Regions from separate parts of the Mus musculus genome. Here all the other regions are reported to be linked to region 2. The links are microRNA targets in miRTarBase. Many come from high-throughput screens and were not tested one by one. Region 2 holds a microRNA gene; each other region holds the end of a gene's coding sequence.

Evidence for each region. Region 2 holds the annotated microRNA mmu-miR-3473c (UCUCUCCAGCCCCCAUAAUAAG, at 2,656-2,677, shown strand). A microRNA usually pairs through its seed, bases 2 to 8, with sites in the 3' UTR of a target mRNA and lowers its output. Matches are read on the target gene's strand: a 7mer-m8 pairs with bases 2 to 8, a 7mer-A1 pairs with bases 2 to 7 and ends in A, and an 8mer does both.
Region 1: the mRNA of Golga7b is a reported target of mmu-miR-3473c. Seed matches in the 3' UTR shown: 7mer-A1 at 3,665-3,671 and 7mer-m8 at 3,038-3,044.
Region 3: the mRNA of Kctd1 is a reported target of mmu-miR-3473c. Seed matches in the 3' UTR shown: 7mer-A1 at 3,478-3,484 and 7mer-A1 at 3,494-3,500.
Region 4: miRTarBase lists Ndrg1 as a target of mmu-miR-3473c. Seed matches in the 3' UTR shown: 7mer-A1 at 2,872-2,878.

Annotation. Positions count from the first base shown.
Region 1 is chr19:42,265,244-42,273,138 of GRCm38, reverse strand. It overlaps Golga7b (golgi autoantigen, golgin subfamily a, 7B), which reads right to left. Exons shown (of 5, transcript NM_027694.2): 3 at 6,236-6,388; 4 at 6,061-6,162; 5 at 2,791-4,787. The coding sequence ends at 4,677. Among named protein-coding and RNA genes, the nearest start is that of Gm34347, 7.9 kb to the left of the region's middle.
Region 2 is chr1:191,994,055-192,001,278 of GRCm38, reverse strand. It overlaps Mir3473c (microRNA 3473c), which reads left to right and starts at 2,645; the gene lies at 2,645-2,725. It overlaps Traf5 (TNF receptor-associated factor 5), which reads left to right. Exons shown (of 14, transcript NM_011633.2): 13 at 1,311-1,481; 14 at 3,272-4,076. The coding sequence ends at 3,849.
Region 3 is chr18:14,964,876-14,972,770 of GRCm38, reverse strand. It overlaps Kctd1 (potassium channel tetramerisation domain containing 1), which reads left to right. Exons shown (of 5, transcript NM_001142731.1): 5 at 3,076-4,086. The coding sequence ends at 3,234. Among named protein-coding and RNA genes, the nearest start is that of 4933424G05Rik, 20 kb to the left of the region's middle.
Region 4 is chr15:66,925,434-66,933,328 of GRCm38, reverse strand. It overlaps Ndrg1 (N-myc downstream regulated gene 1), which reads left to right. Exons shown (of 16, transcript NM_008681.2): 16 at 2,221-4,011. The coding sequence ends at 2,462. Among named protein-coding and RNA genes, the nearest start is that of Ccn4, 38 kb to the right of the region's middle.

The DNA of each region.
Region 1 (7,895 bases), not on the chromosome of region 2:
TTTCTTTTCCTACCTTGGAGCAAATACACTTTTTTGTTTAATTTTATCAGACAATAAAACACAGAAAGATGCACAGAGCTCATGTATTCAGTACACTGACTTTTTAAGAAGTGAGGGCCCGGTGCGCTACCAGCTCTCCAGACCTCCTCTCCTCCACCTCAGATAGACAATTTCGTCTCTCTTTGAACTTGTTCCAGGCTGGGTCTGATTACTTTTGTGGAGCCAGTGTTTTTAATCCAGGTCTCATGATTAGGTCTGAACGGTTGTGTGAAGTGTTTCCTGTGTGATGATGGAGAAAGCCGAGGCTGCCTCTAATGCTGGCCCACATCTTGAAGTCAGGGCTCAAAGCCAGATTTTGTTTGGAGCCACGTTTTCACTAGCTTGTCCTTGGAATAGAAGGCAAAGGCCAGGTGAGGGTCCTTCCTTCGGGGACCTCACAGGAAGTGTCGGGGGCTGGGGGGAACCTGGCAGGGCCTGGAGCAGCTGAAGCTGACTGTGGGGAGAAAGAGTGATTGTCGCAGGATCTCTGCCTGGACTCACAATTCTAGACACCGCAAAGAACTTCCAGGCCACAACAGCTATACTGGCTTAGGGTGGTTGGCTTTTCAGTAGTCTTTTGGCTCTTGGCTGCAGTACATGATCCCACCACTTGGCGGCACTCGAACTTATAGAAACCCTGTAGTCTTCGTATCACACAGGCTGTCTTTGACCAAAGGAAGAAAGGCAATGAATGCACTGAAACTTGCGTGGAGTGTGTCAGGATGGCTGTGCCCTTCAGAGGGAACCAGGGAAGACCTGCCCTTTGTGGCTTGTGTCTGCTTAGCAAGGGGAAGTGACATGGCTGCGACCAGCCAGAGGGGACAGGCCACCGCTTGAAAAACTGAGGCAGCAGAGAGAGCCACACACTTCACCAGATCTGCAAAATCAGGTCTCCCCTGCCATTCACTGAGCTGTCCCTGTGAGTACTACATGCCTGTGCACACAGCCCACCCATAATTCTGTGCTCCTGGGGCATGGAGGTGCCAGGCCTGCCTCAGAACCTAGAGACACAAATAGACCCAGGTCCTTCCTTGGGAATCTACGACTCTGGTCTCTGAGTATCTAAGGGACCCTTGAAACTAGATTCACCCATGTGCCTTTCTGCAGTCTGCAGCCTCCTCTTTAGATCCAAAGCCAAGCTCTGCTACTTAATTGTGTGATTTGGGGTCATTTAACTTCTGTGAGCCTCCTCTGTAAAATGGGTATAGTAACACACACCATGGAAAGTTCACCAGAAGGCCCAAGCAGTGAATTATGTGGTGGCTTAGTCTCGTGCACACACGATAAGCCTCAAACAAATACGACCATGTTTCTTCCTTAAAAAGAAATGTTCTTTTAATATGTACGAGTGTTTACCTGCATGTACCATGTGTGTGCCTGGTGCCAGAGGAAGTCAGAAGGTGCCAGGTCTCCTGGAACTAGAGTCACAGGCGTGATCAGCCATGTGGGTGCCGGGAAGTGAACTCAGGCCCTCTGGAAGTGCTCTCAACTGCTGGGCCATCTCTCCAGCATGGCTACCCTTTTTATCTCCTTCATCCTTGCCCTTTAAAAGTGGGAGAGCTGAATGCCTCTCAGCCAGTCAAGCAAGGTGGTGGGTAGGGGGAGCGGGTGAATTTTTGCCAGTTTGGAAATCCCCCACCATCTGCAGGCCTTCCTCTCTAAAGTTTGGCTGAGGTTTAAACCTGACCTCAAGCTACAGCCAACTTCCCCCCAAAGCAGAACTCAAGCAGGACCTCCCTGCCACCGACCGGAGCAGCTCACCAACCCCACCCACCCACACACACCCGAAGACTCAGCAGAGACAGAGGCCCAGGCTCCCCCGGGTGCTCAGGCACCAGCCATGTGTCCCCTAGTAGCAGCAACCGGAAGCTCCTGAGTTACCCCTCAGAAGAGACCTCCTTCGTGACCCCACTCCAGGACACCCCCTGTGGTCTATCGAGGTCCCTTCTGGAACAGACCCTTGACCCACAGATCTGTGTACATGGCCCAGCCCGCCAAAACCTCGGACAACTTTCTACCTGGGAGTAAATCCATTTTAACTCCACAGGCTCTATGGTGGTGCATGTTATTCAACCTCTCTGGACCTTTTGAGAAGACTCAGCTAATCTTCAAATCCCTCCTCATCCCCAGAATACGGTTTTATCGAAGTGTCTGGTATATCATAGGTGATTAATAAATGCTTAATCTGGTGAAACTCCAGCTATAGGCTATGCTAGTTTCCAATATCTTCCTGCTTTCTAATATTTTTAAAATTTTAATGTAGTCACACGGGGTGGGGGGGGTACCATTCTGTGATGCACGTGTATGGAGATCAGAGGACAATTTTAAGGAGTCAGTTCTCTTTGTCCGTCTTTACCTGGGTTCCAGAGCCCAAACTCGGGTCACTAGGCTTATGTGGCGAGCATTTCACTGGCTGAGTCTCCTTGCCAGCCCCTTCTAGTCCTCCACACTGAACCGCCCACCTGTGTGACTCAACCCCAGACAGTGCCTGACCTAGGGTAAGAACTCAAGTAACAGGCCCTCCCTATCTCAATGATAAATTACTCTTGGCTTAGCTTTTATTTGACCCTACTGGCTCCACCCGAAGTTGCAAATCTACCAAAGGTTAAGGGCTGGTAGAGGGACCTGGACAGTTCCCCCTCTTCACTGTCCCATACACTCCAAGGGCACAGTGTATCAGTCCTGCATGCCATCTGCTGCTTCCTCACACCCACACCCAGTGTCTCCTTGGATGGCCTGGTGGAAACAGCATGGAGCCTCAAGCTGGCAAGTCCTTTTATTGGGAACAGAATAAAACAAAAGGTCTCCCTCCATTTTGCCTCTTCCCAACCTTCCCAACAGGCTGTGCAAAGTCAGACAGGACGCCTGGCTGCACAGCAGGCTACAGAGGGCACAGGCTTCTGCAGGGGATCGGGGGCTGCAGCTCGGAAAGAAGGGGTTCATTGCACCAGGGCTCATGGGGCTCGGGCACCCTGAGGCGTCAGGGGCTTGGCCAGCCCTCTCCATCCGCAGCACAGTCTCCTGCTGTAGAGAGACAGGCCCTTTCAGCTCCAGGAAGCTGCTGATAGTGGCTGGTGATTCCTGTCTAGTTCTAGCACCTCCTGCCCGCTGAGGTAGGCAGCCCCTTTCTGTCCATCTTAAGGCCCCAGGATGCATCACCTTCAACTTAGCTCCCCTAGGGAGCCATGGCTCCATTCGCTTTTCCTCGCAAGGCACATTTGCCTTGAATGTCCGGGGAAGCTTCATCTACAAGGGCCTCAGGGTCCTGACACCTGGGCAGGCTGAATATGCAGCATCTGTGGCCCCACTGTGCCATGGGGGCTGGGAGAGGGGCACCAAAGACCACCTAAACGCTGGCTTGGTTCTCCTGGGAGCCCAACAATCCCTCCATCAGAATGTGTACAATAGAGCCAGAGGTGGGAGAAAGGCCAAGAGGAAGAGCCAAGCTGACAGCCCAGCTTTAGAACATTGACTTACAGAGGGCCAGGAGGGACTCACAGAGAGGCTCTGCAGACCAATGTGAGACAGGATGGGGCAGGACTCAGTAGTCATTAGCCCAGCAGCCAAAGAGAACACACAACGACACAACCGAATCTCTCTCTCTCTCTCTCTCTCTCTCTCTCTCTCTCTCCCCACACACACACACAAACACATGCATACTTACACATAGACATGTATACTCACGCAATACACTTGTGCACACGCATACATAATTTGCATGCACGTGTTGCACACATGCACTTACCTTCTCCCTCATTCACTCAGATAAACATAGGTTCACGCACATGTGCACATACACACATTGACTTGTGCAGTCATACATATACAGGCACTCATATTCATACCCTTGTTTGCTCACATGTGTACATGCTTAGCCACCCATACAAATACATACATACATTTGCGCACACAGTGCACTCCACATGTATGCACACGATGCAGGAATTGGATCCAGTTCAGGAGTTCAAGCTCTGTCCAGCTTCATTCGTCCAAAGTTTTCCCATACCCCAGTGGAGCCCATCAGAGTCCTAGGCTGAACCCCTAAAATCAGTTCCTGGTGGGGTGCAAAGTCTCAGAGTTGGGTGCTTCTTGGCAAGGCTGAGAGAACTTTCGGCTCTGAGGACAGGAAAGTCACTGCCTTTGGAGCGGCTGAATAGCTCCCAGGGCACCCATCTCCCCAGATCTCCAGTGAAGAGATGGGACCACTGACAAGCAGGAGCCCATAGTAGCGTTGGGCCTTAGAAAGAGTCTTTGAGGGTGAAGTATCATGCAGGGTGGGAATTCTCCAGGCCCTCCTTAGAGTGAGGAAGGAGGCAGGAAAGATAGGGTTTGTCCAAGCTGGGTCCCCCACCCCCACCCCAGACATCCTAGGACGGTCTGGGTCTGATGACTCAGATCAGCCTCATGGGAGAAAAAAAAAAAAAAAAAAAAAGGTCCAGGGTCAGAAAGAAGAAGATCCTGCCAAGGAGCAAAGGTCTGGGGACAGGGAACAGCGGGCAGGCACCCTCCCTTCCGCACCACATGGCAGGGTGGGCCCAGAGAAAGACTCAGAAGCGGGTGCTCTGGTAGCGCAGCCTCCGTAGATCTGCCAGCCCCTCGCTCCGGCTGTACACCTCCCTACAGGGACTCTCGGCCAGTCACCGGGCCCCCGCCCCTCCCCCGCCAGCGCTGCTGCTGCCGCTGCCGCTGCTGCTGCCGCTACTGGAACTACCACTGCTGCACCGGTCCTCATAGATGGAGATCTCGATCTGGGACGATAGTTAAGGAGCTTCGAGCACCCGGCTGCTAACCAAAGAACGGAGTACAGACCCAGAACGAGCCTGTGACCTGAAGCACTCTATTCCCAAAGACCAGAGGCCTGACTAAAATCCAAACCCTTCTCCAAGCCTCAGCTAACAGTTTCTGAGAGGACAGAGGGCTGAGTGCACAACGGGATCCCATGGACAGATTCTGGCTTTCTTCGAGATGCACTGGGAAATGGTGTTAGATACAAACACTTCCCTTTCCATATCCCTAATGGCCCACTCCAGTTAGGCCAGGCCAGGCCAGTCCCTTCACCTGCTAACAGTCAATTATTACATCTGCAAAGTGGGGACACTAACAGCGCCTTGAGGTTCCTGTGAAAATTAAATGGAGTACCTGAGTACTGAACACAACACAAGAACTCAGGAAAAAAAGAATCGGGGGAAATATGTGTGTTTCTGGGGACTATGTTTTCTGAACTCTTCTCTCAGCTTTATTGTAAAATATATTATTTTAACTACTGCACGGGGAGCTATTCACCTGAACTACTGTTCCAAGTGGGGTCGGCAGAACCCATCCACCCCCTGCCCGGCCTGTCACCAAGACAGCCAACCCATACAGCAACCCCATCCTGCCGCTCATTTTGATCTTCTGTATTCAGTGGAGAGTGGGACTCAACACAGGCTATTCAAGGAGATTGTGGAAGCCGTGCAGACTCTTCAAGTACCAGAAAGTATTACAGGTTAAGAGAGCCTGGGCTCAAATCCTAACTGTGACAATCTGCTGCTTGAAGGTAAGTGATTGAGCCAGCTTCTCTTCAACATCCTGGTACACACCGGAGGCTAGGAAAGGCCCGACCTCTTGGGAATGAGATGGACATCACATGATATGGTATTTTTCTTTTTCTTTTTTTCTTTCTTTCTTGTTTTGTTTTGTTTTGTTTTGTTTTGTTTTGTTTTTGTTTTGGTTTCTCTGTATAGCCCTGGCTTTCCTGGAACTCACTTTGTAGACCAGGCTGGTCTCGAACTCGAGATGGTATTTTTCAAAGCCTTTGCATGGTGGCTGACCTGTTTTAAGCACCAATGGCATGCAGTTCAATAAATACCAAGCCTGAAACTCACATGTGACTCCAATAACTAACGGTGAAAGACGCCTACAGCCAGTGGGTTGTGGGATCCCGGAAGGCCCTTAGGGAGGCTCCCATTTCCTATCGACATCCTCAAGGAGCCCGTTGGGTAGACAACTCTGCACCTCGTGTAGAAGAGCGCGGAAGGATACAACCCTCATTCCGCGTTCCACCGGATCCGTGAGCAGGAGCCCTCGGGGAGCAAAGACCTTCTCATTCTGCTCCTGGATGTAACGGGAAATCTTCTTGAGAACCTGCAGAAACAGGGGTCCTTAAAGACGAGCCTGTGGCAAGGTAGCTGGGGAAGGGGAGATGGGGAATCCACACCTTCTCATAGTGGGTCTCCATGCAGAGGAAGATGAAGTAGGCCGTGGCGCAGGCCAGGCAGCCCTCCAGATAGGAGCTGCCCCCGATCTTCTCAGCCTCCGCATAAAAACCATTGAGGGTCTTCACCGTCTCCTCAAAGAGCTGCCGCTCAATCTGGAGAGAGAAGGGCAGACTGTTAGTCTCCCCAGCCTGGGGACAATCCCCAGCGGCGTGGGATAACAGTCCTGGGGCTGCGTGGCTGGGAGGGGGTGAAATAGTGTCACACAGGCATGACTGAGAGGCTGCAAGCAGAATAGACAGAGCTCAGGAGCAGGAGACCTGGTCCTGGTCTCCTGATTTGGAAGGAGACCTGTCCGAACTTGCCCATGAGCTAGCCGTGTGGCCCTGCCTGAGTGGCTTGTCCATACCGTGTTGGTTTCCGGTAGGATGAGAACCAACATGACTTTTGGCCTCCCTTGGAAACAGGGGACCTATGGTGTCCTAGGTCAGTGGTTCTCCACCTTTCAAATGCTGTGACCTGTTAATACAGTTCCTCGTGTTGTGGTGACCCCACCTCCAACCACAAAGTAATGATTTTGCTACTTCATAACTGCAATTCGCTACTGTTATGAATCATAATGTAAATATCTGATATGCAGGATATCTGATATGTGACCCCTGTGAAAGGGTCATTCGACTTCCAAAGGGGTCACGACCTACAGGTTGAAAACCTGTATGTCCCAGATGTTTTATGCAAAAGCTCGGTCATGTATTCTGGTGATGTCACATCCCACTGTAATGACTGTGCCAGGGCAAAGTCTCCTGATTTGGAAGGGGCTTCAGCTGCCTGCAACTGACAGTGAGAGCTTAGAACTGACACTCCAGGGGCTAAGAAGTCACTAACCACCACAGCTGCCATACGTGTGTGTGTGTGTGTGTGTGTGTGTGTGTGTGTGTGTCTGTCTGTCTGTCTGTCTGTATGTCTGTATGTCTGTCTGTCTGTATGTGTTTGTATGTGTGTCTGTGTGTGTCTATGTGTGTCCGTATGTGTGTCTGTGTCGATATGTGTCTGTGTGTCCGTGTGTGTGTCTGTGTATCTGTGTATAAGTGTGTGTCTGTGTCTGTATGTGTGTCTGTGTCTGTATGTGTCTCTGTATGTGTCTCTGTGTGTAAGAGTGTGTCTGTGTGTGTATGTAGGTGTATGTGTGTATATCTGTGAGCATGTGTGTGTGTCTGTGTCTGTGTGTCTGTGTGTATATGTGTCTCTGTGTGTGTATGTGTCTGTGTGTGTGTCTGTGTATCTGTGTATAAGTGTGTGTCTGTGTGTGTAGGTGTATGTGTGTATATCTATGAGCATGTGTGTGTGTCTGTGTGTGTGTCTGTGTGTAGGTGTATGTGTGTATATCTGTGAGCATGTGTGTGTGTGTGTAGGTGTATGTGTGTATATCTGTGAGCATGAATGTGTGTGTCTGTGTATGTGTGTCTGTGTGTGTCTGTGTATAGGTATATGTGTGTGTATCTGTGAGCATGTGTGTGTGTGTCTGTGTGTGTCTGTGTGTGTCTGTGTGTATATCTGTGAGCATGTGTGTGTGTGTGTCTGTGTGTGAATAGGTGTATGTGTGTGTATCTGTGAGCATGTGTGTGTGTGTCTGTACAGTCTGGAAGTTGGCCTGTGTCTGTA
Region 2 (7,224 bases):
ACCATCCATAACTCCAGTTCCAGGGATCCAATACCCAACTTTGACCTTTGCGGACACCAAGCACATATGAAGTTCACAGACATACATGCAGGCAAAACATTCACATCAAATAAGATGAATGAGCCTAACTATAAATCTTTTAAAGAAAAGAAAGAACATCCGGGTGAGATATGGCTTTTTCCATTCAAAGCTATGATCAGCTTTTAGTGAGCAGCAAGGGGTTTTCTTCTTAGCTTTTAACATGAAAACCATTTCAAATGCATAGAAAAGCCACCAGACGTGGGTGATGCCAGGGGCACCAGTGCAGCTCTCCCACATCCCATTCAGCACTTCGTCCCATTTGCTCTGTTTCTGGCACCCTTGTCTCTTCTGGGTGTGGCCAAGGACCACCAGAGAGAATACCGCATGTGTGTGGCCCTCTGCAGCTGACAGTAACACTGTCTCGTACATGAGTATATCTATACCCATGCTGGTAAATGCAACGTTTATACCATACTTCCATGGTATGTGTGTAAAATCATTAATTCCCTTTGGGAAGGGCATGCCTTAAACATCACTCGATGAATCCTGAATGTTAACTAACCACAAATGGACCCCTAACAAATAAAAGTTCTCTCATGACCAGATTTGTAGTGATTTAAAGACATATAACATGGGCAATGTGTTTGAAATGTGTATTGTTCCAGGAAATCTAGGCCATAGAAGCTTTATTCTTCTTCACCACAGCATATACATATATACATACATGTATGCACCTGTTCTACATGTGCTGGGCACGTATGTGCAGATGTGTGTGCACATATGTATATGTATGTGTTAGTATGTCTAGGAAAAAAAAAGGAACCTATCACACTATTAGTTCTGACATTTTCCTAAACAGAGAGCAATAGGGTGGAATTAAGACTATATGGGCAAGGCAGACAGATTAATATCCTCCATGTGAAAGATCCATAGAGTGTGTAGGCTCTGCCTGCTCCTGCCCAATCTTGACCTCCTTACAGAAAGGAAACTTTCTTCTGAGGGAAGCAAGGCTAAGGCAAGAGGGCCACAAAGTGCATGTGAATACATGGAGGGGAGACTTTAGACACATCGGGGAAAGCTCAGAAATTCACCAGAGGAGTCCAGCCTGGAAAGGAAGAAGAAGATGGCAGCTGCTGACTCTGCCATGTCCACTGAACCCCCTCTCTGGACACTGCCACTTCCATTTCATGAGTGGATCATTCTATGTGAAATGTTTGTGTTAAAATTCAGTCAACACGCTACAAATCCGATGTCTCGTTTCCAAGACATATTCTCTTTTTTGTACCGCAAGGCTCTCACCAGTCACACGGACAAGTCAGCTTGGCTGGAAGCGCAGGTGCGGCAGCTGCTACAAATAGTTAACCAGCAGCCAAGTCGACTTGATCTGAGGTCTTTGGTGGATGCGGTTGACAGCGTGAAACAGAGGATCACCCAGCTGGAAGCCAGTGACCAGAGATTAGGTACGTGTGTGTGTGTGTGTGTGTGTGTGTGTGTGTGTGTGTGTATGAAGCAGTCGGGTTCCCTCTCATGGCTTCCCTGTCTGTGTGCATTTGTGGTAGAAGCTAACAAGTCACAACCAGCTTTCTGGGTTGCCCAGTGGCTGAATCCTGTTTGTGAAGCAGCATGAGATTCTAGCTGCCTCAGAAAATGAGGGTCTCCACCATGTGTGTGGAGTCAGACGAGACTGAAATGGCCCAGGCAGTCCCAAGAGCTGGGAGTGGTAATCATTAAGAACAAGGGAGAGAGGTGATGGGTGTCTTAGGCTTTGGTGCACTGGGGCCAGTGAGATTGCTTAGCAGGTGATTTGCTATGCAATCGAGATGACCAGTGTATCAGTGGCTTCTCTGTTGCTGTGACAAAGCACCATGACCAAGGTAACTTGTAGGAGGAAGTGTTATTTGGGCTTATGATTGCAGAGAAATAAGAATTTACCACCATCTCATAGAGAAACAGCAGGCAGGCAGGCATGGCACTGGAGCAGCTGCTGAAACCCCAAGCCCAGTGACACACCTCCTCCAACAAGACCACACCTCCTCCAACTAGACCACACTTCCTCCAACAAGACCACACCTCCTCCAACAAGACCACACCTCCTCCAGCAAGACCACACCTCCTCCAACAAGACCACACCTCCAACAAGACCACACCTCCTCCAATAAGACCACACCTCCTAATCCTCCCCAAACAACCCACCAACTGGGGACCAAGTATTCCAATGCTTAGGACTTAGGACACACAACTCATTGAAACTATAACACCCAGAGTTTGATCTCTGGAACCCACACAGTGGAGAGAAAGAACCAACTATTGAAAGTTGTTCTATGACCTTCACATGTATACTATGGTGTACATGCCTTCACTTACACACACACACACACACACACACACACGCACGCACGCACGCACGCACGCACGCACGCACCACCAACAGTAACAACAATAACAATAATAATAAGACTTTATAAAGATATTTATTTATTTGTTTTATGTATGTGAGTACACTGTTGCTCTCTTCAGACACACCAGAAGAGGGAATCAGATCTGATTACAGATGGTTGTGAGCCACCATGTGGTTCCTGGGATTTGAACTCAGGGCCTCTAGAAGAGCAGTCAGTGCTCTTAACTGCTGAGCCATCTCTCCAGCCCCCATAATAAGTCTTTTAAATGTAAAATTCATTATAGGAGTTGGGGAGATGGCTCAGTAGATAACACACTTGCTGCACACATGACCTAGAATTTGGATCCTTGTAGCCATGTGATTGCTGAGTGGACTGGAGGGCTACCTGTGGTCCTAGCACTCTGGAGGCTGACACAGGATCTCCAGGACAAGCTAGCCAGAATATCAGGGTTTAATTCAGTGAGAGAACTACATCAAAAGACTGAAATACTACTGGGGAAGACACTCAGTATCAACCTCTGGCCTCTGTATGCCACAAGCACCTCACAGCCAAACACATGCAAGTATGCACAGACACTTACATCACAAGCACACTCGTGTGCATGCATGCACACACACACAAACACACACAGTTAGACGGGCACAAGGCTCAGCATGAGAATTCACTCGAGGTGAATGTCCAATGTGTCTTATACTCAGGCAAGCTGAGAGTGAAGAGGGAGGATACATCCATGTCTGCTTGGCGTCAGCTTACCACGATTGAGTTAATGTTAGCAATGCATGTAGTAGTTCACAGGTAGTGCTCAGATGACAGGCCCGAGCTGCAGCCTCCTGTCCTGTGTTTCCTTCCAGTTCTTTTAGAGGGGGAGACCAGCAAGCACGACGCACACATTAATATCCACAAAGCACAGCTGAATAAGAACGAAGAGCGGTTTAAGCAGCTGGAGGGCGCCTGCTACAGTGGCAAGCTCATCTGGAAGGTGACAGATTACAGGGTGAAGAAGAGGGAGGCCGTGGAGGGGCACACAGTGTCCGTCTTCAGCCAGCCTTTCTACACCAGCCGCTGCGGCTACCGGCTCTGTGCCAGGGCGTACCTGAACGGGGACGGGTCGGGGAAGGGAACGCACCTGTCCCTGTACTTTGTGGTGATGCGCGGTGAGTTTGACTCGCTGCTGCAGTGGCCGTTCAGGCAGAGGGTGACCCTGATGCTTTTGGACCAGAGCGGCAAGAAGAACCATATTGTGGAGACCTTCAAAGCTGACCCCAACAGCAGCAGCTTCAAAAGGCCAGATGGCGAGATGAACATTGCCTCTGGCTGTCCCCGCTTTGTGTCGCACTCTACTCTGGAGAACTCCAAGAACACCTACATTAAAGACGACACACTGTTCTTGAAAGTGGCCGTGGATTTAACTGACTTGGAGGATCTGTAGTGTTACCTGATAAGGAAACTTCTCAGCACAGGAAAAGGTGTGGCTGTCCCTTGGGCGCAGCCCTCTGGACTGAGCAGGCTCTTGTTCTTGTCTTCCTGCCTCCGATGTCTGATGTGTCATCTTTTTATCTTGGATCCTTCCCTGGTTTGAAACTTTAAACTCTTGAAATATTGCTGTTATTTATATTTTTGTATCTTCCAAAAAATTATAATAATTTGACAACAAGGCCTGGGGCTCCTCTCTCTCACTGAAGTCTGGGAAGTGTTTTCAGGGAGTCCAGTGCTCAACGGGACTGATACAGGGGCAGAATTCCCACTGACACTCGTTGTCATTTATCAGCTGACTCAGTGCTTCCACACCTGAGCCTAGGCCTGCAGCAGCCATCTTGTAAGAGACAGGCAGGCTGTGCCAGTCAAGTGTGGGCAGTGTAGCTACATATGCTGCATTTGGACCACAGATCTTCAGGGAGATGCCAACCGCTTGGAAATCGCATCGCCCTTTTGTGTTTTATACAGGATCCACTAGCTGCATGTAAGCACAGTTTGCCAAGTTGTATAACAGCTAGGAAATGGGTCGGCTCTTCGTCCTTCTCCACTAACACAATGGGTGCCAAGGAGTGGATGTTTAGTGAACCGAAAGTTCAGAGTTCATTAGGTTTGACCAGGTGAGAAGTATTTTCTTAGGTAAAATTGTCAACTATACCAGTTCACACAACTCAGCCAGGTGACCTTTGCATGGCAGTGGGTGTGAGGATGAGCAAATTTGTTATGACAGAGAAAAATATGAGAAAAGGACAAAAGGGGAACCTGTTCACCATGGATAGCAGCTGTCTGAACCCTTCTGTTCTTCTGGAAGAACTTTTAAATTCATATGCTGACCAAAAAATGAGCATTTGTAGAAACTTGCGGAGTTTCCTGTCAACATTTTGAGTGCTCTGAGAGCAGAAATGACCGGGTTCTTGTAGATCTGTCTTTGCAGTGGTTCTCAACCTGTGAGTTACGACCCCTTTGGGGGTCAAATGATCCTTTCTCGGGGGTTGCCTGAGACCATCAGAAATCACAGATATTTGCATTACCATTCATAACAGTAGCAGAATTACAGTTATGAAGTAGCAACAAAAATTATCTTATGGTTAGGGGTCACCACAACATGAGGGGCTGCGTTAAAGGGTCACAGCCTTGGGAAGGTTGAGACCCGCTGGTCTTTTGGGTCTGTCTGTCCCTTCAGCTCAGTAAGCCTCAGACTGATCTGCCCTCCTGCCCTGACTGAAAATGGGATCCGTGCCATCCTCCACTGCTCATGTAACATTGGCTCCTAAGCACGGAAGGACAAGTGTCCTGGGACAAGGGTCACGTTAGAGGCACAGGGGAGGCTATGCTCTTGTAGATGGCGCTTAACCTGTGTAAGAGACAGAACCTGGGCTGCAGAGATGGCTCAGTGGCTAAGGGTGCTTGCCGCTCTTCCAGAGAATCTGAATTCAGTTCACAGTGCCCATGTCAGGTGGCACTCCAGCTCCGACATCTGATGTCCTCTCTCTGGCCTCTGTGGGCATCTGCACACACCTTCACATAGATGCTCACAGATAGACAACCATAAATGAATCTTAAAAGTAAAACATGGGGCTCAAGAGATGATTCAGCAGTCAAGACTGCCGGCTGCTCTTTCAGAGGACACAATTTCAATTTCTAGCACTCACTCGGAAGGCTCACAACCACCTGTAACTCAAATTCCAAGGGATTCGGTGCCCTCTTCTGGCCTCTGTGGGTACTGCATCCATGTTTGCAGACATGCATGCAGGCAAAGCACCCAGCCACACAAAATAAAATACTGCTTTTAAGTAGAAACTGCTTACCTGACTAGCCTCTGTGAGTCCAACAATCCTCTTAATCTCTTCTGTGATCAGTGAAGATTCTAGAGCCACGCCACAGGACTTGTCCCAAAGGATGGAAGTTGAAAAAGCAGATGTAGCATAGAAATACACTGTACCTTTGCTGGTGAGCAGTGATGGCCATGTACTTAGAGTAATCTAGGAGTCCAGTCTCTAGCCCACAGGCCAGACTGGGGGGGGTTCTGTGGTTTGTTCACTATTTCATGTCTGTCTGTATGTATGTGTATATACATACATATATATACATATATATGTATATATACGTGTGTGTGTGTGTATAGTGTGTGTGTGTGTATAGTGTGTGTGTGTATAGTGTGTGTGTGTATGTGTGGTGTGTATGTGTGGCATCTCCCTTCATCAGTGGTCGATTCCATTGATCCATTACTAACGGCATTATGGGTGGTAATGAGACCCAGCTGGAGGAAGTGGGTCGCTGGGCTATGCCTTTGAAGGGCATGTCTTGTCCCTCGCCTCTTCACCTGCCCCTCCCTCCACTTTCTCAGATCTAAATGCCCTTCCACCATAACACTCTGCCTCACCACAGGCCCAAGTCCGTGAAGCCGAGAGAGCATGGAGCTTCTGAGGCTGTGAGCTGAGCTGAGTTCTCCATCCTGAGCTGTGGTTCTGGGGTACTGTGTCCTGGGATGGAAAAGCAAACAAGCACCGCCTCTAATTCACTTTCCATCCCATGCAGCCACACCCGTGTGTTGTGTTTTCCAAGATGTGCTTGCAAAAAAGCATCCTAAAAATATTCTTATCTTGGGCCCAGCACCTTGACCAGGCAGCACAGTGGAGCTAGCTCTGGAGGCGTAGGTGTGGGTGAGCAGGCCTAAGGGCATGAGAGCAGGAAAGCTGCGGCTGCCTCCTGTCGATGGCAGCACTGGGTGGACTAGCCAGAGCAGTGCTCAGAGCTTGTGTTGCAGTACAGATAAGGGAGAGCCAGTCAGCGCACTGACCAGCTCAGGGGCCACCCAGATATCATCTGCAAATTGCTGGGATACATTGAAAAGGCCAGTCTTACTGATTCAGAGCTGCAGGATCTCCATGACACAGATCAGCAACAGAAGTAATCCTAATGAGGAGCCAATATTGATGGGGTCACAGAAGCCAGAGACCCCCCCGAACCAGGCCAGTGATTCATTGCAATGAACATTTGCAGATGAGGAGGGATATACACTGTGGGACACACTGTTACTCGCTACAGTTCCACGATGAGATGTTTTCTAGCTTTGTTCTCTCTCTCTGTCTCTCTCTGTCTCTGTCTCTCTCTCTGTCTCTCTCTGTCTCTGTCTCTCTCTGTCTCTGTCTCTCTGTGTGTGTGTGTGTGTGTGTGTGTGTGTGTGTGTGTGTATTTTGTTGGGGGAGGTTGCAAGGAAGAAAGGTAGACATGAGGGAAGGAGAGAGGAACAGGACTGGGTGCGTGAGGTGAAACTTAAATCAATAAAAGGTTTTTTTTTTTTTTTTAAGAATAATAGGAATAAAAGAAA
Region 3 (7,895 bases), not on the chromosome of region 2:
GATGATGAGTGGTTAGGACCCCCAGAGTCAGCCCAGCAGTCACATTGCTTGATTGGCAGCTGCCTGCAAGTCTAACTCTGGGATCTTCTCTCCTGGTCTCCTTTGGCAGCATACTGTTGTTAGTGATGCACATACTGACAAACAGACATGCATATACATCTAAATAAAAATAAAAATAAAGAAAATTTAAAAGAAAAGAAATTCAAGTCATCTTCAGCTTATTAGCAAGTCCAAGGCCAACTCGGTCTATATCTGTCTATATGAGACCATGGCTCAAAAAAAAAAAAAAAAAAAAAAAAAACCAAAAAACAAAAAACCAAAAGCTAAAGCTCTAGTGGCAGACGAAAGTAGTGAGAGAGAAGCAAGGAAGGAGGTTACAGAGCGATGATCTGAGGACATTGAAAAGCCTTACAAGGGTTTCTGACTGTGGCCAGGGTATACACGAAGTCCTACATGTTTCTGATAGGACTGAGTGGAATTGTCACTGTTCTGAGGTGGAAACATCTTTGGGAGAAGAAAACAACAGGCTGGGATTCAGGATTTTGGTTTAGATCCTGAGACGTGCTGTATGCCTTTGATGCTGATAGATGTTGTTTCCATCTTAGCTCAATATGCATCAGTCCTTTCCCCTGGGCTGTGACCAGTGGGTCACTGCCCTCTGACAACAACTCTAGCAGGTGAGCTTTGCCAGTGTGCCTGTCAGAGGTACACCTGAGTCTTCCCAGCGAAGCTCTTTGACATTGTGCTCTGTTAAGAGGCAGTAGGCCGAAAGTCCTCCACCTCTCTGGACCTGGAACTCTCTGGAACTCTCTGGAACTCTCTGGACCTGGAACTGACTCCTAGCTTTGTTCACTGTGTAGCCCGTACAGCACCTATCTATGCTCCATTCCCAACACCACTAAGTACTCTTCAAGAGTTTAAAGGCTAAAAACACTCAAGGGGTCAGACTGCCTCAGAGGAATTGTTACACACTCTTTATGCTTTTGAAAATGTATAAGCAATCGTCCCAGAGCACACTAGCAGGAAACTCATTTAAATGGCGCCCACCAGCATCCAGAGAAAGGCACCCAGTCTTACCCGGTTCCAGAGGGCAACAGTTGCATTCTCTCCTATGTGTATGGCACCCCTGGAGGTGTGCAGTGGTCCTACAAGGCAACATGGACAGAGTAAGTCCTGAGTGGCTGTGTTGCCTCTAAATGCTTGTGAAGCCTCAAAGCCTTTCTTCTCCCCCACACCCTGCCATGTTCCGTAGCAAGCTGACCATAGCATTCAGAGCCAAGTAAGATCTTAGCCCCACCCCTTGGCCAGGGAACACCTTTCATCTTTCATATGCCTGATCTGCTGGCCAGAGCAGCTGTGCACATTTCACCTGAAGCAGCTTCCTCATTCAATGAAGCCCAACCCATTCTTGCTTTGACTCTACCCACCACCCAGAGAAAGATACCCATCTGTCAGTCCACAGAGATTTAGGGACAGGGCATGACATACCTGATACACTCAATTATTTAAACATTCCCAAAACATTTCTAAACCTAACAACGTCTGCTTTGGACTTGCTGTTTAGTTAGTAATAAGTCCAGGCCTTGTGAGTTAGCTCATCGGGAAGAGATTCTTGCCTTCAAGCTTGTTAACTTGAGCTTAATTCCTGGGACTCACAGAGTAGAAGAAGAAAGATGACTTCCATAAATTGTCATCTGACCTTTATGGATGGACACACACATACACACATACACACACACTGAATATGTAAGTAAATAAATAAATGGAAAAATATTTAAAAAACAAAACAGTGACTTCCTAAGTTGTGTACATGGCATTGAAACAAGCACTGGACCACATGGAAGCCAGCACAGGATCATTCCAGATACTCGTCACAGTCTGTGTATGATAACCTCTGGGGAGGAAGAAGGCTCATTACTGTCTGATGGCTCCTCACACTCACATGTCCTCTCCTAATGGGGCAGAAGATCCTTTCAAAGCACACTGAGGCAGCTCTTACACAGGTTCAACTCCATCCTCAGCGTCTTCTCAGAGAGCTGTTTTCAGCCACTGTATTCACCAGCCACCAGAGCACCTGGAACTTGAGTTAGGGATGGGTCCCATCATCATCCTGTGCTTAGGCCAATGAGCACAGATATGTGCAGTGAATTCACCTGCACAAACTGAGGGATACCCTGGGGAGGGCTGGCCACCGTTCTCAGTCTCTGGTTTGCATGTTTGGAGCACATACTCTTGTTTTTCCAATCTCTTCTAGATCGTTATGTTGCTTCTGTGTTACTTATAAAAGTTGGTGATGAAAAACAATAACTTAAGAAACCAGAAATGTAGCTCAGTGGTAGAGTGCTTGCCTAGCATGCACAAGGTCCTGGGTTCAATTCCCAGTGCTACAGTTAACTAATTAATTAGAATTAGGATTGCTTTGTTTAGTTACATTTAGGGTTTTGCTTGCCTGTTTTCAGCCAGACTCTCACTCTGTAGCCCAGGCTAGTTCCACACTCTTGGCCCTCCTCTCTTTGCCTCTCACATTATTGACATTTGTGGAGTTATTTAACAGCAGTTTACTCCATTCCAGGAAAGAAATGAAACATGTTTATTTTTAAAGTTATGGTCTATGGTATCCCTTTCCTTTCACGTTATGTGGAATTTAATTATATCCAATGCTCTATCTGTTGCATTGCTGAAAAGCAGAATTCACTCAGCTTCCTGTACTTTCCCTATCTCGGAGTTGCAGAGATGGCTTCCTGCATCAGAGAGTGTCGGACATGTACCGAATGCAAGGACCCAGCTAGCATTTGACTTCAGAGTTAATAACAGGCCGTGGAGCCGAAACTGGACCGTTACAGAATCTTCTTGTTTGTTTGCAGCACTAGGGCTCAAAACCATGGCCCTATACATGCTGGGCAAGCACTCTACAACTGAGTGATGGCTCTGTTAGAAATAGCTTAATTTGGGGTATATTTTCTAGTGAAAAACCATTGCCTTCATTCTTGAGTGTACAGGAATTGAGCTTTGGCACGCATCTTTGGTGTGTCTATGCCTTGCCCCTAAGCAGACGCCTATTTTGGTTTTTTACAGGTCCTTGAGCGGTTGCAGCAAAGAGGATTTGAAATTGTGGGTTCCTGTGGAGGAGGAGTGGACTCGTCCCAGTTCAGTGAATATGTCCTCCGACGGGAACTGAGGCGGACACCCCGAGTACCCTCAGTCATCCGGATAAAACAGGAGCCACTGGACTAAACAGACATATTTCTTATGCAAAAAGAAAACATACACAACCAATAACAATATGAGAAAAGGGACATTTGTGTGCAGCTGGGACAGTAAACCAAGCTCTGAACCTAAAATTGAATAAAAGACATTTATATCCACTAGAAATCACACCTGTATTCATATGGGAACAATTGGAATCATGATATCCTCAAGATGTAAAAAAATATATAAATATATAAATATCTATATGTCAAAAGGTAGGAAATGCAAGGAGAGAGAGAGAGAGGGAGAGAGAGAGAGAGAGAGAGAGAGAGAGAGAGAGAGAGAGAGAACGCAGTGGGTGCTGTGATGACCGTGGTGTTCTGGGCCTCTGAGGTCTCTGTCCAGTAAATAAGCCATGAGCAGGGAGGACAGTCTCCTTACTGCTTCATTGCCAGCAGCCATCAATTGTTTCTTTTTTCTTTATTGTTCTTTTCTTTTTTTTAAACAAATAAACAAAACACCTGGGCTGGTGTTCCTTTGCAAGTGGAGGTTTTGTGTCTGGTCAGGTAGGGACCAGAAGGGAGTTCAGAGAACCACTCAAGAGCACACCACACGGGACGTGCGGTAGACAGGACATCTGACTGCAGTCTGTACAGGACTGGCACTTTTGTCCACCGCACAGCCGCGACCTTTCCTTTGTTTTTATGCTGATCGTTTGGCAGAGGGGCCAGAGTTATTACTTGCTAGAGATCTCCAGTTTCAGTCTGCTGCTTTCCTACAATTTTTTCAGATTTTATAATGTATTAAATACAATAAACTCTGTTTTAAAAAAACTGAGATCTGTGTAGAACACACATGTTGGGATGAGAATGAATTAAAATGAAATTTTTCCTTTTATTTTCTCTCTCTTGTGTTGAACATCAAAAAGTGGTCTTAACAGCTAGAGCTAGCTTTAAAGTCAAAAGCACAAAAAAGATAAGGGTGTAGCAATTTGTTCTACACAGTTCTCTTTCAACGTAGCAAATGTTTCCTGTGCTTTGTCATTCTGTCTTATGAGGAGGATGAGGAAGGAAACCAGGGCCTCGTTCAAGCTAAGTGTGAATTCTACCACTGAGCTACTTCCTCAGACCCCTCTCTGGACCTCCTCACTGGAGGAGGCTCAGGTAGCCTAGGCAGAACTCGGAATCACTGTCACCCAAGAAGGTCTTGACTTCTGGTCCTCCGGCCTCCATCTCAGATTCTGGGATTCTATGTTTGTACTACCATGCCTGGACTCTGATCTTTATTCCTACAAACTTTTGAGTCTCACTTAGATTTCTTGCTGCAGAGGTAGCCAGATAAATATTGGGTGGGCGGCTTAGCATGTGTTCTTAGCTTGTGATCCTGGGATCCTCAGGCACACGACTGGTCTTGGTTGGCCTGCCCCTGCTGTATATGATACCATCCAGAGAGTCGGCAGGGCTACGATGTCCAAGGCAGATATCCATCCATATGACTGTGAGGCTCCCTGTGGCTAAGACCCCTTCATCAAGTTGCCTCTGTAAGTACTCTAAGAAGCGAGCTGTAGGGAGTGCAGTCCTGTAAGAGGCCATGCCCCGACCTGTGCTGTGACTCTGTCCTGTTTTCTGAGCAGACATAACCAGTTCAGACTGAGAAGAAGGGCATAAGACCCACCTGCTGAGGAGAATAACAACAAATTTGCAGCCTACTTGAACCCACTATCGTTATCAGCCAAAAGAAGGGTGTTATAACTTTGCAAGTGATAAGGGGAAATGCTGCGGCCAAAGCGATCATTCTTACCAGTCAGAAAGTCGTAAACCTAGGAGTCCATCGTACTTCAAAGTCAAGTCCTCAGCCATTTCAGGGCAGTGGTGATTCCAGTTTTCCTTCCTTCTTTCCTTCCAGTTTGCCTTTCTGCTACCTTCCTTTCTTACATCCTCCTTCCAGACACCCCAAAGCACCTGGCATGCTGCTAAGATTGGCAGGTGAGCTATAATGTGATTTTGGTGCGGCGATGCTCCTCTGGTGATGGGCTATTTCCATCCTGAACTTACCTTCCTGTTTTAAATTAAAAAGTCTGTGCCTGAGGACAGCAGTAATGAAAATATCATGGCTACTGGGACTAGAAGTAAGCTGTTAATGTCTGCTGCCCCTCTCGGAAACACAGAGGCAGCCCGCACGTTGAATTTCTTTAGTGATTGCCAACAAGGCTGCCACACTCTTCCCTAATGTCCCCTCAGATGAGATAATAAACCACAGGATCCGACGCAGACAGCCAGGGCTGCCCTGCCAGCTGCTCTGGCATCCCTGTACTACTGCAAGGATGAAAATTTACCCTGGTTCTTACTAGCAATCTATTTTCATTAGACAAGACAGCTCCAAACCAGTAAAACAGAGGCCCTGCTCTGGAATTCTATTGGTGACAATCGAGTTTCCAGTTAGTGCTGGGGAGATGGCTCAGTCAGTAAAGTGTGCCTTGCAGATGTGAGGATGTGAGTTTGAGCCCCAGACCCCGTGCAAAAGGTCGGGCTCAGTGACAGATAGCACACACTTATAATTCCAGTGCTGGGGAGGCAAGGCTGGAGAGGTAAGGCAGGCAGATCCCTAGAGCTTGCTGGCCAGCTGGCCAAGTCAACTCAGCAAAGTTCCAGACTATGGAGAAACCTGTAAACAAAAAGGTACTCTGCCTTCACACAAGGCGCACATGCACCTGCATACACATGGACACAATACTTGATATTCACTCAGCATCGTCTGCAGTTAGAATTGCCTCCCCCACAGTACTTGTACCTCACAGAACTGTGTGCCCTGACTGTGATTTCATGGTCATTTCTAAGTTTTTAAAGACAGTTTATGTGACTCCAAGCTCAGGAGATTGAGCTCAGTGGAACCAATTCCCTTTGTATTCATGATGCTCTTAGTTCTAGTAAGATCTCCAGACCCTCTACACTTCAGAAGCAGTGGGTTAGCAGGCCACAGCCTCAAAGTCTCACTCCCTTCTCACTCTCTAATATATAGTTCACATGCAAATCTGACCGCCTGAGCTTATAGCAACCTGGACAGCTGTGGTTTGTCCTCCTTGAGGATTTGATCAAGGATTGCATGTGACAGTTATCAATAGTGTCTCTTTAGACTCCTTCTGAGAAGTTTTTAAGAGGAGGGCCCATCTAAAGGGTCTAGCTCACTTTTTTTAACTTATTTTTATTTTTTATTAGATATTTTCTTTATTTACATTTCAAATACTATTCCGAAAGTTCCCTATACCCTCCCCCCGCCCTGCTCCCCTACCCACCCACTCCCACTTCTTGGCCTTGGTGTTTCCCTGTACTGGGGCATATAAAGTTTGCAAGACCAAGGGGCCTCTCTTCCCAATGATGGCCGACTAGGCCATCTTCTGCTACATATGCAGCTAGAGACACGAGCTCCGGGGGTACTGGTTAGTTCATAATGTTGTTCCACCTATAGGGTTGCAGATCCCTTTAGCTCCTTGGGTGCTTTCTCTAGCTCCTCCATTGGGGGCCCTGTGTTCCATCCTATAGCTGACTGTGTCTAGCTCACTTCTTTGGTAACACAGTGTAAAGGCTTGGATCTACCTAACTGTTTCCTCGGTAGAGTCAGATGAGGATTTTCTTTTTCTGCAAGAACACTGCATAGCTAGTGTCCTGTCCTTACTGCATCACATCCTAAGAGTTGCCTTGTTTCTTGTTGATGATGACAATTTTTGTTGTTGTTGTTGTTGTTGTTGTTATAGTTTGAGTCAAGCTCTCACCATATAGCCCTCGAGGGCCTGGAACTCCCTCTGTGGAGCCTGCCTCTGCCTCCTGAGTACTGGAAATAAACATGTGCCACCATGCCTAGCCAGTTTGCATAAAGTGACCTCCACCAGATGTACAACTTGGTTTTTCTCTTCATAATTGTTAATTAATCCACATATATGTCTGATGGTTTTACCATACATTACCAGGATTTTCAATAATTTTTACCTTGTTGGTTATAAAAATCATAAAAGTGTACTTCTTTGAATGGCTAAACCACTGATTTTTAAAATAACTACTTTTTATACAGAAGAAAAATACATTTGTTTAGCACGGGGTAGACAAACCACAGTCTCTGACCTGCCCTTTCTTAAGAAATACTTTGGGAAAATAGAGCAAGCCCAAACTTGGTTCCAACTTGTAGGTTGCTCTCTACATAGGAATAAGAACCATGCGCTGTCAGGCATTGGGCATGCTTGGTGTGCCAGGAGCTATGCAGAGCTTGAGTGGCAAGAAGATGAACTGAAGTACTTCAGGTAACTAAGACTCTGAGACATCAAGTAAAGAGCACAGCGGAAGTTAACGTTCCATTAAGCTTTTATAGGAGCCTCAAAGGAAACCACAGCAGCAAGGAAAAATACGTTTCACGGTGCAGCATTAGAGGACTACAAACAGCTTCTTTTTTTAACTATATGTATTTATTTGTATGTTGTTGTTGTGTGCATACGTGTGCCACAGTAGTTTGGAGGTCCATGAGTGAGTTGTGAGAGGCAGTCGTGCCTTCTACCGTATGGGTCCTGGGGATTGCACAGAACCTGGCTTTTCATGCTTGATGGCAAGTGCCTTCGTCTAGTGATCCAATTCTCTGATCTTAAAGTTGACTCTTTAAGTTCATTACCTGTGTGCAGGTGCCCTGAGAGGCCAGAGTTGCAGATCCCTTGGAGCTGGAGT
Region 4 (7,895 bases), not on the chromosome of region 2:
CAACAATAACAACAAAAAACCACAAACCCAACAACAACCAAAACAATGACCAGCAGCTGAATAAGGAATGCCCCTAATTTTGATCACATGCTCACTCAGGAGACCAGCAGTTGTAGCAACGATAGAGATGATAACGGTGATGAAGGATTAATAAGGATTTTTGTCTCCTTTAACCATACCATCATAATAATCCTAGAAGGGAGAGGCTAAGCAGGCCGCAAAGAGGTTTGAAGCTGATTGAGCCAGAGCTCTATGTAAGAGGGAGCCCAGAGTGCCTGAGATCGAAGGTAGGGTGCTTCCTTGATAGATCACTTTTTAAAAAAGATCTATTTATTTATTATATGTAAGTACACTGTAGCTGTCTCCAGACACTCCAGAAGAAGGAGTCAGATCTCACTACGGATGGTTGTGAGCCACCACGTGGTTGCTGGAATTTGAACTCAGGTGCTTCAAGAAGAGCAGTCAGTGCTCTTTACCACTGAACCATCTCCCCAGCCATCTTTGCTAGATCATTATATCAAGGAACTGAAGGACTGAGCACCCCGCTGTATCCTGCTTTAAGCTTAGAGTGAGCTTGTCATTCAGGCAGTCCCATAGATCTAGGAGAAAAATAAAAGGGAGAGACACAGACCCAAAGGGTGGGTTGCTGAAACAGAAGGTTCCAGCTCACAGGCTGCCTGCCTGTGATCCTGGGCTCCTAAGACTCGTCCATTGTGTGTCTGGTGTCATGGGAAGCTGTCATTTCCTGGTGAGGTCATCAGGACTCAGAGATTTGGGTGGAGAAATCGAGACGCAGGAACAAACATAGGGGTCACAGATGTGCCCTGACCCTACCTCTTTCTGAATTAAAAACAGGCTGTTCTGAGATGGTATACTTCTGTTGTCTCAGCATTTGGAATGAAGAAGTGGAAGGATAGTGAATTCAAGGTCTTCCCAGCTACACAGAGAGTTTAAGGCCAGCCTGGGATAAATGGAGCTTTGCTCAAAACCAAAAACTAATGGATAAAAACAACAACCAGGAAGAAAAGGAAAGAAAGGAAAAGGAAGGAAAGGAAAGGAAAGGAAAGGAAAGGAAAGAAAGAGGGAAAGAAAGAAAGAGAAGGGGAGAGAGAAAAGAAGGAAGAAAGGAAGAAAGGGAAAGTCAGACAGACAGACAAACCAGGAACAACACTAATTCTTTAAGGAGTGAATTCCACTGAGCAAGGACTAATCCAATTTTGGGTGTCTGATCTAGGGCTGTGCTTCATTGGGGTGTGGCATTAGTCACCCCAATGAGTAACCTAAGAGATCCCCACAAATAAAGCTCTTAAGCGTCAAGAATGCATTTTTCCTACAACTTCAGAGGCTGCAAATCTGAGGTCAAGGTTTGGACAGGGCTGGGCTCACTTTTCAAGGCCCTTTCTTGCCTTCTGGATTCTGCTGACTACATCATAGGCCTTCTGTGGCTTCTGGCTGCATTACACCAATCTCTCCATCCATATGGGGTGGCTCTCTCTTGTTTTCTTTTTAATGATATTGGGCTTTAGATTAGGGATCATTCTAATCCAGAAGGACCTTGTCTTAACTAAATATCTCTAAGTATTCCAAACAAGGTCATATTCTGAAGTTTCAGGTGAGCATGAATTTGGGGGGAGCACTGCCACCCTAGATAGGAGGAGGATTGTCTTGTATCCCATTCTGTCAGTCATCTGCTGTGGTATGCGCAGTTTTGGTCATGCTAAGGTTTGAGAGCTAGCAGGCTTTTGGAAGGCAGACAGATGGCTAACATTTCCTTAGGAACCATGTGGTGAGACCTTGGGGGTTATTCTTGGGATGTGCAGGAACTAACCTTGCTGGCTTCCACATTCTACTGCCTACTGACAGTACATTTAAGAGGAGGTTACACGAAGTCTTCATTTTGCAAATGAAAATGGGAAGGCTTCAAGTGTGATGATCTGGTGGTCACCTAGCTAATAAGCACATAACAAACTGGGGGTCAGACCCAGGTCATGGCTCAGGACTCTTGCCATGTAATTGTTATGTGCCTTTCCCACATATTGGACTTTACTGTCCTCTTTGTGAGTGACACAGAAGGTAGATGGCTCACAGGATGAAGACAATAGAGAAGTGGTGTTCAGCTGGGCTCTTACGATTAACTGTCATGGCTGGCAGCCAGGGGTAGAGTCCCACACCTGTAGAGGCTTCCTGTATCCTAACCATATTTGTCTTCTGTGTTCCCAGTGCCTTCTGCCAGCATGACTCGCCTGATGCGGTCCCGCACAGCCTCTGGCTCCAGTGTCACATCCCTGGAGGGCACCCGTAGCCGCTCCCATACCAGCGAGGGCCCCCGAAGCCGCTCGCACACCAGTGAGGGGTCCCGTAGCCGCTCCCATACCAGTGAGGATGCCCGTCTCAACATCACCCCCAACTCGGGTGCCACCGGAAACAATGCCGGGCCCAAGTCCATGGAGGTGTCCTGCTAAGCAATCTGTGCATCAGTCACCCTGGACTGGTGGCCTCTCCCTTAGCCCCCAACCCTTGCCTGCCACCCTACGCTAATGCGGTATTAATCTAAAGCTGCTTTTGTAAGAATGAACTCTGGCGGTGGCAGACCCAGGCTGTTCTGACTGCCTCCTGGGACCAGGGTGGGTGGTGGTGGACCAAAGGCAAGAAGCAGTTCAGCGTACTGTTCTGCTAACAAGTGGCCTGGTGGACCCTCTCTCTACCCTCAGACACCAAACTGCCAAAACTAAGAAATAGATAGCTGTAACACTGCCTGGCTCCAAGCCCAGGCTGATCCAGCATTCTGGTTCATAGGCGTTTTGCCAACCTGCCTACTTCCTGTTTCCTCCCCACTAAACTCATTCCTGGAAACAAACTTCTGTTTTGAAAGGAGAGAGAGAGGCAGGAAAGTTGGGCGCCTTATTTTAAGTAGAGAAACCAAGAAAGGAAGAGAAAAAAAGGCAGGGTCTAGGGCAGGTAGAGGAAAAACACAACAAGTCTACTAGGCTCACTTGAAGGAATTGATTTTAAAGTTCTGGACACTGAAACCCACAACCTGTTTTTCTGGCAACCTTTTAACGTGCAAGAAAAACTGGTAACAAACCCCAGGCTTTATAGAGAAAGTGATCCAGCAAATGTGGGGCATCAGTGATTTAAGACTCTTGCTATGCAGTCTACTGTACCCCGCTCCCATTCCACAGTGAATGAGTGGATGACACCTCTGTCCCTCGGGAAGATGGTTTTGATTTGTTGTTGCATTCTTTGAGGCAGAGGGAGAACCCAGCAGGTGACAGGGGTCCTTGTCTGGGATGAGTCTTTAGGATGGGAAGGGTGGGGATAGAATGGCCCTGGGATTTTGAGGACTCATGGTAGGGCCAAGTGCTAGAACCTGGTGGGTGTGATTTCATTGATCTGGAATCTTGTGTGACTGAGTCACACCTTGTCTCCCATAATTGATGTCTGGCATTGATTTGAAACTTGATAGCTGAATGTCTCTTAACTGGCCCATCGCTGGTTCTTCAGAGAGAACCGTATGTTCTAGTGGGGGAAGGACTGGTTTTGGGTTCTGTACATTCCACGGGAACTTGCTTCCCTCTCCTGCCCCTCCTGCTGACTGGGTTTGTAGCATTGGCCTCTTAAGCAATGCCAGCCTAATGCCCATGCTCCATACTACTGCCTTTTGATTCTTACTGTGGCTAACCTTGAACCTTTCCTATAGGAAATGTGATCAGATCAGAGACACTTGATCGTTGGGAGTCAGCCCTCAAGGCCTGGCGACTTCCAGGATCTTGGAGTTGCTAGAGGAAAAGTAGTTATGCCCTATAGGCGGCATGAGAGACAAGGGATCAGTTTACCTGCCAACTCCTACCGTGGAGGAGGAGTTCCACTGACCTTGTGTAGAAAGATCAGGAATCCAGGCCAGGGTGATTGAATGCTGACAAGAAATCACTGTATATGTCTCTCCAGGGCAGTTTCTTAATAAGATGTTTGTATTTATTTCCAGACCAATAAATTTGTAACTTTGCAGTGGCTTGTGTCTTTTCCTCTCCCTATGAGGGTGGGTGTGGCATTGTGGAGCAGGAAGGGGTGGAACTTTATCCTTGACACCAGAGCCCCTGCTGCGTGCCCCTTACTTTTGGAGTTCTTTGCCACAGAATGACACTGACCAGTAGAAATGGCACTGTCTGTCATATAGGTTTCTAAACTTTCTGGTAGTGATATTGAAGGAAGAAGAATCAGGCGAAAATAAGTTAGGCATCCCTGTAGCCTAATATATCAACTAACATCATTTCTATGCAAGCAGTCAGGCACATCTTTTTCTGCAGTAAGGAATTCAGTGTGCAGGCAGCCTTGCCACACACCAGGCACCTAGTAGCAGGTCACCATAGTGATGAGAGAACACTTTTCAAGCTGGAAGAAGAGGGAAGCATATAGGTTAAAAGTGACTCCTGTTCTCACGTTCCATGGGAGATGTTTGCTTTGTATGTTTGGTATATATGTGTGTTGTATGCATTGTTGCACTTGCGTGTACGTTTCATGGCCTGAGGTTGGCATTGGGTGTCTCTCTCTCTCTGTATTGCTCTCCATTTTACTGTTTTTGAGACAGACACAGCTGCATGTTTGCATACCTGGTGCTACCCAGGGTTAGTTTGTCTGAAGGTACCTCTCCATCTGAAGAATCTATTTCCCACCCGGATGATTGTTTATGGGAGGCCACACAGTAATGGTTGGGAGCCTGTAGAGGGTGAGTGTTGTCTGCTAAGTAACTGCTTCCAAGAAAGTGAGGAGGACAGGGAGAGGAGCTCCTGGGCACCCCAGCATATATGATGACTCTGGCTGGGGACCAAGGTCATCTCACCTCTGAGAGCCCATGCTGTGATGTGGCCCTTGACAACATGCAACAAAGACACTTGACTTGGAAGATGGCTCAGTTGGTAAAATACTTCCCTTGCAAGTGTGATAACCTGAATTCAATTCCCCATAGCTCACATTAAAAAAAAAAAAGCTAGGGTAGCAGGCTCTGTGTTTAACAACATTGGCTGTTGTTCTAGAGCACCCAGTTCAACTTGAAGCACCCACATAGTGGTTTATAAGTGTCTGTAACTCCATTTCCTGGGATCAGTACCCTCTCTACATAGGCACAGAACACACATGTGGTACAGACTTAAATGCAGGCAAAACATCTACACACATAAAATACTTCTGGTGGTACATGCTTGTCATCCCAGTGCTGGAAAGGTAGAGATAGAAAGATCACTGAGGGTACTCTGGCCAGTTAGGTTAGCCCACTTGATGAATTCCAGGCCAAAGAGAGGCTGTGTCTCCAGCATAAGTAAGACAGAGCAAAAGGACAGATTATCCTCTAGCCCAAGAGCACAAAAATGTATTCGCACAAGAAGGGGCACTTGACTTCTGTGGCCGTCCTCCAGCTAAGGAAAACCTTATACAGATCTCACGTGAGTCTTGGCAATGGTGTTTTATAACAGCAATAAAAAAGTAACTAAGATGGGCTCCAAAGAATCAGTGAAGTTGAGTTGATGAATTAACAGTGACATCATTTATTGACGGACAAGTCCATTGGTACAGATACCATTGTCATTTATCCTTGCTCTGAGAAGTGATCCCTGAATGGTCAGCATTCCTAGGAAGCAAGGAGATTTGCAGATATGAAAAGTGCTGATGCATGCTGTATACTACCTTATTTTCCTCACTCATAAACTAGTGATTATTTTTTTAAGAATGTATATTATATTTATTGAGTGTGTATTTGTGTGTGTGCAGGTGTGTGTGTGCTTGGAGGCCTGATGTCAATGTCAGACATCTCCCTTCATTGCTCACTATCTTATCCTTTGAGGCAGAGTCTTTTACTGAATCCTGGACTCATAGATTTGGCTAGACTGGCTGGCCAGTGAGCTCCAGGGGAGTCTTCACTCTCCAGAAAGAGTAGTTTTCAAACTTCAAAGAGACTGAATAGCTTTAACGAGCCATTTTCAGTGGATTATTATCTCCCTGCCTATAAATGGCTCACACCCTCCCCTATCAATGTCTGGGGATGCGGGAATATCAGTGAGCTCCAGGGATCAGAACTGTGGGCCTGAAAGGTTTTCACTGGCTCAACGTACCTTTGTTCTTCCATTAAATGGTCCTGCTTGGACTTGCAAGATACAATAGCTTTGATGTGGTTTTGGGTTACCCTCCCTTCCCTCTGCTGGCACTTCTTATATTATCAGTGAGCGTGCTTCTAGCAGCTCTTGCTCCTTTTACTGAAATGGATGAAGAAACCCACATTTTTTTCTTGTATTATATAAAAGGCAGAATAATGAGGCTTAGAGTGTAGAGCCTGAGATATGCTGTGTAGAGTGTACCAAATGGTGAAAAGACTGTGCCAGCATCTCCTTAGAATCCACATGTGATAGAAAGAGACAAGATTCCAGCAGGGCATGGATTTCTAAGTACAAGTGTCACTAAGGTATGAATAAGTAGGTGGACAATAAGAGAGATAGATAGATAAATAGACAAATAGATAGATACATAGATACAGATACATAGATACATAGATGATAGATAATAGAAGATGACAGATAGGTAGATAGATGGATAGATAGATAGACAGACAGACAGACATATAAATAAATGGAAAGAAGATAATTGATAGGTAGGTGATACCTGGAGATATAGGAAAGATTTATGATAGATAGATAGATAGACAGACAGAAAGATGATACATACATACATATATACATACATAGATATACTTCTTACTTTTTGAGAAAGAGGCCTTCCTGCTCTGTTGGCCAGGCTGGCCTCAATACTGTAGACCCAGGAAGTTGTTATGCCTTAGCCTATGGAGCATGATGACAGGTTCTCCAACTCTACCTAGAAATCACTATATATGTTTTCACGATTTCCTTCAGGTCTCATTTTCTCCAATTTCAACCAGATAATACTGAGTAATATTGAGTAAAGTCCATTCATTCCCCCTGAGTCTGATGCACTCATAGGACTCTGGACTGCAACTACAAATTTGTTTTAAATCCTACTTTATATTTTGATTACTTCACAAAGCAGGTTTCCTTGTGGCACTTTCTTAATACTTTCTTAGTTGTTTTTCTTCCACACCCTCTTCCCCACAATCTCTTCACCCCCATCCCCCTCATCCTTGTCCACCCGCAGCATTCTGCTTTCCACTTTCATGTCACATACGTCTATCACCCTTCCAAATTCTCTCCTTTAAAGCTTATTTCCCCTTTCAAGGCTGTCTTTCTAGTTTCCTGGAATCTATCTATAAACATTCAATTCCTACATAAATATGCGTACTGGCTAGTTTTGTGTCAACTTGACACAGGCTGGAGTTCTCACAGAGAAAGGAACTTCAGTTGAGGAAATGCCTCTATGAGATCCAGCTGTAAGGCATTTTCTCAATTAGTGATCAAGGTGAGAGGGCCCGTGGTGAGTGGTGCCATCCCTGGGCTGGTAGTCTTGGGTTCTACAAGAAAGCAGGCTGAGAAAGGCAGAGGAAGCAAGCCAGTACATAACATCCCCCCATTGCCTCTGTATCAACTCCTGCTTGAGTTCTAGTCCTGCCTTCCTTTGGTGATGAGCAGCAATGTGGAAGCGTAAGCTGAATAAATTCTTTTCTCCCCAACTTGCTTCTTGGTCATGATGTTTGTGCAGGAATAGAAACCCTGACTAAGATAATACACACATGAAAACTTAGAAGCTAGACCCATACATGAGAGAAAAATGAATGATATTTTTCCATCTGAGCTGCAGTCATTACAATATTTTTCAATTCCATCCACCATCCAGCAAATTCTAGCCTTTTGTTCTGTCTTATGGGTCAGTACAATTCTATTGTGAGTATGTAGCTTTACGGTTATTTTCATTCCCTGTTTGCTGTGAGTGGATTGGCG